3 linked regions of the Diceros bicornis minor genome follow. The protein of the gene in region 1 interacts with the protein of each later gene in a biochemical or structural test. Links are inferred from orthologs where the notes say so. Each region holds a gene or a part of one and is shown on either strand. Other genes may lie near its edges.

The links.
Region 2: of the proteins of MTOR (region 1) and RPS6KB1, one has a biochemical effect on the other in vitro, tested with the Homo sapiens proteins (18 studies listed by BioGRID and IntAct, with this or other methods). The link is inferred for Diceros bicornis minor from reciprocal best matches to the Homo sapiens genes MTOR and RPS6KB1.
Region 3: of the proteins of MTOR (region 1) and EIF4EBP1, one has a biochemical effect on the other in vitro, tested with the Homo sapiens proteins (29 studies listed by BioGRID and IntAct, with this or other methods). The link is inferred for Diceros bicornis minor from reciprocal best matches to the Homo sapiens genes MTOR and EIF4EBP1.

Annotation. Positions count from the first base shown.
Region 1 is NC_080752.1:30,490,942-30,494,688, reverse strand, and holds the start of MTOR (serine/threonine-protein kinase mTOR), read left to right. Parts: upstream 1-743; 5' UTR 744-826; intron 827-1,082; exon of another isoform or gene 1,083-1,400; intron 1,401-2,735; 5' UTR 2,736-2,749; coding exon 2,750-2,911; intron 2,912-3,570; coding exon 3,571-3,679; intron 3,680-3,747. UniProt on the Homo sapiens protein: Serine/threonine protein kinase which is a central regulator of cellular metabolism, growth and survival in response to hormones, growth factors, nutrients, energy and stress signals.
Region 2 is NC_080757.1:28,016,903-28,020,649, forward strand, and holds the start of RPS6KB1 (ribosomal protein S6 kinase beta-1), read right to left. Parts: upstream 2,462-3,747; 5' UTR 2,415-2,461; coding exon 2,274-2,414; intron 1,765-2,273; exon of another isoform or gene 1,666-1,764; intron 1-1,665. Other genes in the region: TUBD1 (tubulin delta chain), read left to right, coding at 2,829-2,904, 3,729-3,747. UniProt on the Homo sapiens protein: Serine/threonine-protein kinase that acts downstream of mTOR signaling in response to growth factors and nutrients to promote cell proliferation, cell growth and cell cycle progression.
Region 3 is NC_080768.1:34,699,855-34,703,601, reverse strand, and holds the start of EIF4EBP1 (eukaryotic translation initiation factor 4E-binding protein 1), read right to left. Parts: upstream 2,531-3,747; 5' UTR 2,499-2,530; coding exon 2,354-2,498; intron 1-2,353. UniProt on the Homo sapiens protein: Repressor of translation initiation that regulates EIF4E activity by preventing its assembly into the eIF4F complex: hypophosphorylated form competes with EIF4G1/EIF4G3 and strongly binds to EIF4E, leading to repress translation.

The sequences.
Region 1 (3,747 bases):
TGAGATATTTAGGAATTTTCAATGTTTATTATAATAAACAGAATGTATTTAAAAACTGAGATGTCAAATTCCATTTTTAAAACTGATTTTTTGAAGGGATGTTTTAACAACCATGCTGCTTGAAAATTATTTACGAGTGGCTCATTTAGTTCAAACTTGGCTATGGTTTCTCGCGAATGATCTTGTGAGCTAGATAATTTTGGAAAAGTGGGAAAATCTAATTAAAAGCGCTTTCAAATGCATATTACACTTAACAAAAGAGAAATCACGGGTACATAAGTTGAGCTAGTCCGAAAACTTTAGGTCTTTTGCTCCAGCAGCTACCGGGCACCGGCTTCGTTCACACTCTGGTCTCAGAATTAAACCGGGCGGGGTCACGCACCTTCGCCCACCCCTCGCGGTCCCATCTCACCGCACCACACAGCGGACTCCGCGCGGCTACAGCCCCAGTGCCGAGGGGAATTATAGTAGCGACGCACCGGATGTGTGCGTGGAAGCCCCCGAAGTCAACTCACGACCGATTGGTCCTCCCGAGCGAACCTAAACCTCCTTTCTCCTGCCACTGGTCGCGTGGTTTGTCTATTTGAACAGTCCCCGCCCCCTGGGGAAGCCGGGTCCCGAAGCCCCACTGCTCCTTCATTACTATTGGTCTGTGTTCCAGTCCATCTTCTCTTACGCCTGTCGATTGGTCCTTAGCAATAGGAGCCCGCCCTCACTCCCGCCCCGGCTTAGAGGACAGCGGGCCAGGCGGGTGGTGGGGCCGGGGGCCTGAAGTGGCGGTACCGGCGCTGGCGGCGGCAGCTGAGGCCTTGGCCGAAGCCGCGCGGTGAGTCTGGGGCCTGGCACCGACCCCTCCACGGCGGCGGAATGTCCTGACCCTCGGCCGGCGTGGTCCGTGGGGGGGCCCCGGGAAGTCGCCTGTCTGGGACGTGGGGTCCCCTCAGTACCGGCCCCACGGACTTGGGCGCCGCCTGAGCTCTTGACCCCCGCCCCGCGAGGCCACGCCCACCTCCTCCCGGACCCCGAGGAGAGCCCCGCACCCTGCAGCCTGCCGTGGTCTCTGGCGCCGCGTAGACCGGCCCATCGGCTCCGGACCTGCCGGGACGCCTTGGGGTCTCCGTGCCCGTCAGCCACCCCTTGTTCTGAGCCGCCTACAGATGTCCTCAGAGAGGACCAGCGTCAGTGTCGGCCCCGCGCAGTGCGCCCCGGAGCCTCTCGAGGACCCAGTCCCGGGGTTGAGCTGGTTCCGCTGGGTTCGTCCTCGCCGTCTGCCCGCCCCCATCCCTCATCTCAGCCGCCCAGTGAGCCCTCGCCAAGACCCCTGGGGTGTTGGGCTCCCAGTATTTTCATCGAATTCTGTCTGGAGCAGATGGCCGGTGGGCCTCAGACCTTGTAAAGAGGTACTGGGTCTTTCCTGAGAATGGAAATTCCTCACCAGCCTCCCCCCATCACGGACACCCCACCCTCGCTCCATAGTTGTGTTCTCATCAGGGATCCTTGGGTTTCCTCTTCCCGAAGAATGACATTTCCTTCTGCAGTTTTTGTCTTGGCACCAGAGTATTTAAAAGCTTTTCAAAACCAGTTCTTCCCTGTTTTTTCCTCTGCATCTCACAAATTATTCCAAAAATAAGAATTTTGAAAAATTGGTTTTCTAGTATAATCTGAACATTCTTGGGTCAGGTGTGCGTTTTACTTCCATAGCAGTCTCGGCTGAGCCCTGTTATGTCCACTTTATTGTGGTTGCCTGATTATTTATGTTTCCCTCTAGATCCTGAGCTCATTGAGGGAAGGTACATAACTGAGGAATGAATGCGTGATCTCAGGAACTGATCAGTCTGTTTTAGCTCACATTCCCAGTACTAGTATTCTGTAGAACTGCACTGTCCAGTACAGGAACCACCAGTCACATGTGGCTTAGCGCACTTGAAATGTGACTAGTCCAAACCGAGATTGCCGTAACTGTAAAACGCACACGAGATTTTGGAGACTCAGAACAAAAAAAGAATGGAAAATATATCAATGATTCTTTTATACTGATGACACGTTGAATATTCTATATATGAGATTAAATAAAATGTATTAATTACACCTGTTTTTTTACCTTTTTTGATATGGCTACTAGAAAGTTTAAAATTACATTTGTGACTCGTATTATATTTCTGTTGGACAGTGCTGCTACAGAATAATAACGTTTCCCTCTTTAAGTTGAACTCCTTGAGGAAAGCGGCAGTCTTAGACAGATTTTATTCTCTCTCGACCTCCCTACCTCTAGTACCTGGCGCTGTGCCACGTACGTAGTAGTAATAATGATAATAATAGCTAACAATTACGGTTACACTGTGGCACTGTTTTAAGCACTTTTCAACATGTATTAACTCGTTTAATCCTCACAGCAACTCGATGAGTTGGGTGCTATTATCCTCCTATTGCAGTTGAAGAAACTGAGATGTTTTAAGTATCTTCTTCAAGGTATATAACTTTGAACTGGATTCAGACTCAGTCCGGCTCCACAGCCCACAGTTTGACCCTCTCTGCTACCCTGCCTCTTTTACACAGCAGTCATTGTTAAATGAATTGAGGCTTTCTACACGTTCCTCAGTGAGGTCTCCCAACCTGTTTTAGGATCCCCTACCTGATGGGCTGGGTGGAAATTTGTGTTCAGGAACTGGGGCCATAAATAAATTCATCACCATAGTTTGTTATCCAGAATATTTAAAGGAAGCTTCTCTCCATAGAACCTCAGGGCAAGATGCTGGGAACCGGGCCTGCCGCCGCCACCACAGCTGCCACCACCTCTAGCAACGTGAGCGTTCTGCAGCAGTTCGCCAGTGGCCTGAGGAGCCGGAATGAGGAGACCAGGGCCAAAGCTGCCAAGGAGCTCCAGCACTATGTCACCATGGAGCTTCGAGAGGTCGGGGCTTCTGTCATTTGGGCCAATCGTCATGGAGTGTTTGGGCTAAATGTACCATCACTGGTTTAGATTCCTTTTGACAGCTAAGTAAGGATTCGGAAAATGTAGAGGTTCTGTTTTAGAAAGGCACCCGATTTCTCATGTCCAAAGAATGTGCAGTTTCCTTTGCAGTGGTTACACATTTCCGTGGCCTTTCTTGTGTTGTGACATTTTAGGAGTCAGCATAGAGTCAGCTGTTTTTTTAAATTTTTTTCTTTTTCCCATCACATTCTAGACCCTCAGTTCTTTCTGCCTGATAACAGTGGTTGGGATGGGTTTGAAGAGGTGATAGCTTAGGGCTTTCTAAATAGAGACCAGACTTGAAGTCAGGGACAATGTCTTGTTCATCCTTGTACCCCTGGTACTAGGTAGAACCTAGGACAGGACGTGGCCTGCCATGGAGTAAATACTCAATATGTATTTGTTAAACAGGTGAGTTGTGAGTTCACTTGCTCTACAGTTTAAAAGTATGGAGTTGGGCAGTAGCTTTGTCGTCTTTGTTTTGAAATGTACCTGCTGGCCACTTCTCAGGTCTGAATCTTTGGAAATCCCCCTGCCACCCCCCACCACCACCATAAGGAAGACATTAGAAATTGTTCTGAGTATATCTTCCTTTGCAGATGAGTCAAGAGGAGTCAACTCGCTTCTATGATCAGCTGAACCATCACATTTTTGAACTGGTTTCCAGCTCAGATGCCAATGAGAGGAAAGGTGGCATCTTGGCCATAGGTAAGGACAGAGTCTCTGATGACAGTAACAACTAGGAATAAAGTGCTCACCTTTGTGTCCACTGCGCC
Region 2 (3,747 bases), on another chromosome or scaffold:
TGAAGAAGCTGTGCAATGAAGCTTGCTGAATTGAGTCAGAAGACACATTACTAGTTATCTATGCGGTCTTGGGCACTCATCTCTCTGGCCAATGCCTCACTTTCCTTACTATAAAATGAAAAAGTGAGGCTACTCTGGTACGCAGCAATGTTTTAAAAGTTTGTGCACTAAAGGTTATAAACTCACAAATAGAATATTAACTTTATTTATAAATTCACAATAGCTAGATTTTCCGAGAATCTAAACTTCTCTCATTTTTCAGAATTTTTAAATTTAACTTAGAGAAAACTGGATGTCACTGAATCTCCTTGAGTGGCCAAACCAATCCCACTCCAACTCTTTCCGCTTGTCTACCTTGAGGCACCTCTTAGAATGACACACCCAAAGAAATATTTTCAACTCCAAAAGCATTGCTAAGTAAGATATATTTTGCTGAAGGCTCTTCCTTAAAATCCTCTTTTATCTTTGCTCTTTCCCCAAAGTTCTTCCCCCCAGGGTAGTAGCCACATTTCTTTCTCTTTCCTATTTCCACCAATTTCTCTGGCCTCATCTCCACATTTTCTCAAGATTCTATTTCCTTGTACCCAGCAAAACAAACTGTCCAGGAGTAGGCCAAAACACACACCAACGAGGTCCCAGTTCATAACAAATCTTAATATGGTATTTTACTTCCAACTCCTTTAACTTCTAATAAACCCATGATCTGGAAATTCTACTAGTTCAACTGATGAAGATTTTATAAAACATCCTTCCTATCCAGTTTTCTCCCCTGCCCTGCTCCAAAGCCACTGCCATATGGAACCAATATAACTGATGAGAGTAAGCTATATGTAATGAAAGTAATCTCACGTTTGTTTCTATCTTTAGTGTATCCCATGTTCAATTCAGAGGCTAACTGGAATTCCACAGCAAACATTATTAAAAAGTACACATCTCATACCCAACTTCCAAACTGTGTGATTTTGATTTAGATTCATTTGATTATGAAAAGAACAGTATTATTTTAGCCCACTTAGTTTCTTAAAGTGTTCCAAGTTCTTTAAACATAGCATCTCAATCTTTTGTCAACAAGCAGAGTACAACTTACTTGCCAGAGGAGGAAAATCAAATGAAGGAAAAAAAGGGAAGCTTCTTATGTAGTTAAAAGCAAATTTCTGACATCAGTCATTAACCCATGCACTCATCTAGACAACGGAATCTAAATTACCATGAGGTTATCATTGATGATCATTTACCCAGAATCAGTGATTTAGTATGACAACACCATTTTTTAACGTCAGGTGCAACTGTGATTTTTCAATAAATTTATCTTGACAAAAGACATTCCGTAAAGAATAACAGACTACTAAGACAGCAAAGGTAAAACCAAGCTATGCATTAGGAAAAACAATTCTAAATTTGGCACCCTAAATTAAAGCAAGGAAAGCCCTCACACCACCATTCACAAGTCTCAATTCAAGCAATTTATTTTTGGCAAGTCAAATCACAGCTGTCAACGCTGTTTTTTTTGCACCCCAAAATTACATAAAGTATTTTGAAAAAACGTAGACATCTTCAACTAGGGGAAAAGTAAATTACAAATGCCGTGTGTCGTTATAAATGCGTTTTTTTAAAAAAGTCACACGGAAGGGGGTTAAAAAAAAAAACAAAAGCAAACAAACAAACCCTGGAAGATGCAGCAGAGCCCCCTTGCTCCCGAAATAAAACTCCTGGTGGCTGTAACAGCAGCGGCAGCGCTACTCCCGACAGAAGTTTTCAGCTGTCACTTCTAACAGCTGAGCGCTTCCTAGGAGAGAAGCGACAGGCCGAGAAGAGAGGTGGTTGTGGGAGGTCTGAAGATTTAATACTTGAAATCTTATACTCCAAGGGAAACCCTTCCGCACTTCACCTGCACTTACGGGACACCCAGCAAGCGCAGTCCCCCTCCCCCCAACACATGCTTACACCACTCGCGCCCCGCCACACTCCAGTCCAACAGCTCGGGAAATGCAACACACGCCCTTTCTCGTTCCCTCCACAGACAGACTGCTCCAGGCTGCGCTGATCTGGGGCTAGGGGCGCGACCTGCACCTGCGAGCCCCTCAGCGGCCTCACACCTAGGGCCAGGTCCGCCCCGCCCGCTCCCCTGCCTCGGGCCGCGCGGCGCCTCAGCTCCTCCTGGAGACTACTGGCGCCCCCCGGGGTCTCCACGCTCTTGGACGCGCCCGGCTTCCAGGGCCCGCGCTGCCGCCCTGGCCCTGTCACCTCGGGCCCCCCGGGACCCCGGGCCTCACCCCCTCCTCCAGCTCATCCTCAGAGCCTGCGTCCTCTGGCTGGTCCAGGTCTATGTCGAACACTCCTGCCATGTCCTCAGCTTCCCTGTCTCGGAAGTCCGGCGCTGGGTAAAAGCCGTCCCGCCTCCGTCGTCGCCTCATGGGCCCGGACCCGCCGCAGCCACCGCCGCCGCTGCCGCCATCACCGGCTGCTTGGGCTCAATGCGTCTGCGCCTAGGCCCTAGACTGGCTCCTCAAGTTCAGCGCTAGAGCATGCGTACAGGGCTCTGTGAAGCCGAACTGTGGGCAATGAACATGCGTAGAATTATCGCCAGGAGCCAGGTACTGGCGGAAACATGCGCAGAACCCCAGCCGAAGCCTCTCTTGGGAGCTAGATCATGCGCATTTTCTGCTAAATCTTTGATAGACAGTGAGCATGCGTACCATGTCTGAAGTTGATAAATTGAATTTGAACATGCGTAATTAACCTTTCTGAATAGGAAAAAAAATACACAACAAAACTCTTCGTTTGTGGAACATGCGCATTCGTTCTCCGTAGCTTTTTGAGTTTTGAAAATGAGCATGCGCATAGTGAGAGGGTTGGCCCTCCGACATTTGAACAGGACGGAAACCGCTGGTCCTGGGGCTGTCAGTGAGTGGGGTTAATGGGGCTAGTGGGGAGAGGGAGAGTCTTGGCTTTGCTATTTATTATTTCAGTGCCCCTACAAAAGTCACATAATTTTTCAGAGCCTCAGTTTCCTTTTCTGTAAAATGAGAATAATGATACCTATTTTGCAGGGTTGCTTGAAAATTGGCTCACAAGCCACTGCTCCTTTCCAGTGCTGCATAGACCTGGTGTGAGGTCTTTATCAAAAATTGTCTCTTTTCATTGTTAAAAATAGTGAAGACTTGCTCTAATGTTTCATCTGGTTTTCTTTTTCCAAGTTTCATCTTCCTGTCCTACCTGAGCTAAACACAGTCTTTGTTATAAGTGTTACTATAGTTACCAGACCAGAAAGGTGGTTGATGGAGAGAGAGAGTCATTATTTAGAGGAGAGAAAATTAATGTTAATTAAATGTGGGATTGTTGAGCTAACTTCTGCCTTCTATGTGTCCCTGTGGTGTGAAGTGTATACTATGAATTCCTTCAACCAGCATTCATTTTATTTTATTTTGTTTTAACTGCATGCTTAGGAAAAGAGCAATTACAAATCAGATTTTGGAAACTATTGAGCTGTGTATCATTGGATTTGGGTACAGTAAACCCAAATCCCGAAACCATATAGAGAAACAGAACAAATTCCTTGAATGCTTGTCTCCTTAGACAGCGTAGCTATTTAATCTATAACACCATATACATATGTGGCATTTTAAAATTGTTTTTGTATTGATGTATATTAACACATATGGCATTTTATTTGTTCGTTATTTTTTAGTAATGTAGTGGTTCTCAGAACCTATATTTTTCTATTACAGGTTGCTCACTTTTTTCAGG
Region 3 (3,747 bases), on another chromosome or scaffold:
CAATCTGATCCGTCCCCATCTAGCAACAACGGGTGCAAAAAAGGGCTAACTTGAGCATTCAGGCCTGCCTTAGTGCCCACTCTGCACAGATCAAGCAGAGAGTCACATCACTCGAAGGAACCCTAAAATGGTCAGGAAAGGTCCTGAAAGACACATCATGACACAGAGAAAGCAGAACAGCGTGGACTACAAAAGGCCCAGCAGGGAAAGAGAACGAGTCAAAAGGGGCAAGAAGAGTCACTGGGAACTTCTCCTTGGATCGTTTTGTTGTTGTTGTTGAGGAAGATTCGCTTTGAGCTAACATCTGTGCCAATCTTCCTCTATTTTTTGTATATATAGGACGCCGCCACAGCATGGCTGAGGAGTGGTGTAGGTCCGTGCTTGGGATCTGAACCCATGAACCCGGCCGCCAAAGCAGTGCACGCTGAACTTCACCACTATGCCACAGGGCTGGCCCCCCTTGGATCATTTTTAATAGAAGAGAGAGCATTTTTCCCCCGCAATGCTTGGCTGCTATTTCTTGTTCAATCTGGGAAAACAATGTAACGTTGGACAATGGACACGTGTTTTCAAGCTCTGGGGCCTCAGTGCCATGTTCTGTAGAATAAGGCAGCACAGCCCCATTTGAGGAAAGCATCCTAGGAGCCTGTTTGGAAAACAAGGATTTTTGAGAGATGCACTAACATTCTGCCTCTAGACTGTTTCCAAACTTTTAAATCTACAGATCTCAGACTTGAGCTGCAACATCCAACTGGATTTCCAGCCTCCAGCCAGCCCTGCTCTCTTCAGACTGGCCAGCCCCCACCTTCCAGATAGACATGAGCCAATTTCTTAGTCTATCCTGTTGCTACTGTCTCTCCTGACTAATAGGGATTTTGTTCAATCCAAGGGAGACTCTGTCAGCAACCAAGGACCTCAGTTCAGTCCTGAACAGGTTTTTCCTCCAATTACAACCCAAAGTTTTACATAATGTCTTCCTGTCCCTATATCATTTACTTGTGCCTCTAAAATGTGTAAATGTTTGTAGACAGAATTTTTACCTCCCCTAGAGTTTCTAATTGTTACATTCTATGTCTAATATAACTTTACATTTCAAAAATCTCGTCATAAGACCAGCATACACATATGCTATTTAATGGTGAAATTTAATAAAGTACAATAAAACGTGAAAAACTGCCTACTCTCCCCCTCCCCTCCCTCCTTCCCCCTCAAAAAAAAGGCAGCACGGTTGGACGAGAACATCTAAGATCCCTAACAGTCCTAACGTTCTATGCTTTGGATCAAATAGCCCAAGACCTCGCAGCTGGCTGCGCTCGCTGGCGGTGGGACAGCTGCCTGAGAAAACAAGCGTGTGGCCCCCGACGCTGGCAGATGAGGCTGCGCCCCGCCCGCGTCCGCCCGCACCCCTGCCTCTCAGCGGAGCGCCAGGATCGGCGGCGTTTCTCGAGTAGTAGCCCGGGCAAGAGCAGTGGAGGAGGGTGTAGGGGAGGAGAAAAGGGCAAAAGGGGGTGGGGGCAGCGCTAGGATGGGAGGGAAGTGGTGAGCCACGAGGATTTCATCATGCAAACCGGCGGGCAGGTTTCATCAGCGCCTGTGCGCCTGGGCTCCCGGGCTGGGACGGAATGCCTGGCTCCCCGAGGACAGCCTGAGGCTGGCCCCTACCCGTGCCAGCTCAGCTTCCTCTTCCTCATCCACTCTCAGGGAGGTCACACGGTCCCCCTCCCCCCGAACAGAAGAACGTGTCTTTCGGCACAGTGCTGCCCGCGGCCCCAGGTCCCTCTGTGGAGATCCCATATGCGTAAATGGGCAATCTGCCACAGAAGCCGGCTGCAGCAGGCGACCACTCTCAGCCCAAAACCTGTCAGGGGGTGCGTGCCCAACGCAAAACAGGGGGGGCCTCGGGAAGGAAAAAGGACTCTGCAAGAATCATTTATCCCAAAAGAGAACGCCCATCCCATCCCTAAAAACCCCAGGCCAGGCCCCTCTTTGATCTGTGGGCCGCCCTGACCCCACCCTATTCCGCCCCAGAACTGTCCCCAACACCCACAAGGGGCAGCACACCTCAGCATGTGGCAGTCCTAATATCTGTTAGGGTGGAGGACGCTCAGCTGTCTCTCCCAGAAGGAGGAAATTTAACGGGGCAGTTTGCAGCCCCGGTTCTGGAGGACGCACTCAGAGGGCAGGCAATGGGAGGCGGCCACCCGCTCGCTCCGTGACCCTCGCTGCCTCCTTGATGCCCCTTCCCAGTCACCGCGCCCCCAGAGCCTGGCCGCCCCGTCCAATTGGCGATTCCCGATCCCTCCCGCTCTGCCCGCTCCGTCCTCCCACAGCCCGCAGCCGAGCCCGCGCCTACCTCCCGGGGTGGTGCTGAAGAGCGTGCCGCCGGGGGTGGTGCTGTAGTCCCCAGGCGGCAGCTGCACGCCGTCGCCGAGGACCACCCGGCGAGTGGCGGGGATGGCCCGGCTTGGGGTCTGGCTGCAACTGCTGCCCCGGGACATGGTCACCGCGCACCGCGCCCGCAGCCGGAGCGTGTCCCTGCCGCGGCTCCCGCCCCGCTCCTCCCAGCTCCAGCCCGCCCCGCCCAAACCCTCCCCTTCCGCTTCTTGGGCTCGACGCCCCCTGGGATTTGTAGTTCCCGCCGCGGCTGTCCCACCCAGGTCCACGCAGCTGTTGCTCGTGGGTTCCTCCGCAGCCCTGGGTCGGAGGGCCCCTACTGAGGGTCTCCTGCCCGCGGGTGCCAGCGCCACCCCCCATTGCTTGTCCCTTTCGCTCCCGGCTCCCTCCCCGCCACGCTGGCAGGGGCGGGGTGAGGTGGGGGGTCGGGAGGCCGGCCTAGGTTAATGCCTCGCTGAGCTGGGGAGCGTCCAGGGCTGTGCGGCGATCCTAGCCGACCTGGCCCACTCTGGGAAGACCTAGTTTCTACATTAGGACATCAGGGTGGATGGTCCCCTCAACCCTCCCTGTTCCGTTCTTCCCTATTCATTCCTCAGATGAAAAGGCAGGGATTGGTTGGTCTTTCACCCCCTCATCGGTTCATTGAACACTCACGATGTGGCAGGCTTTGAAGAAAAGGCGAAGAACGCACCTTCCACGCCTTCGGAGAGAGTGAGGAGGACACGCGGACAAGCCACCCAGTTGGGTGATAAGGGCTAACCCTAGAGCCGAGGTGGAGGTGGGGTTGGGGGAGGGGTAAGACTCGGTCAAAGAAGGTTCCTTGTAGTCCTTTGAGTTGGGTCCAACGCCCCCCACGCTGCCTGACTGTTTAGTAGGCACACCTTGAATGAATGAAGGGACAAATGAATGACTGAATGAATCTTCAAGGAGATCACCGAGTGGAGAGAGAAAAAATGCACGGAGGATGGAAAAGCCGGGTCGGGTGAGAGAACAATGCGGCCACATCTTGGAAGGGGGAGGAGAGAGGAGAACAGTTTAAAAGGGAAATTGGGGCCGGATTGTGAGAGGTCGTTTGTTATTATTTTTTAAAGCTCAGTGGTCAAACAAGGGGTTTGTTTTGTTTTGTTTTTTTGAGGGAGATTGACCCTGTGCTAACATCTGTTGCCAATCTTCCTCTTTCTTTTTTCTCCCCAAAGCCCCATTACATAGTTGTGTATCACAGTTGTGGAGTTGTAGCTCTTCTATGTGGGATGCCGCCTCAGCATGGCTTGATGAGCGGTGAGTAGGTCCATGCCCAGAATCTGAACCCATGAACCCTGGCCGCCAAAGCAGAACTCGAGAACATAGCTGCTG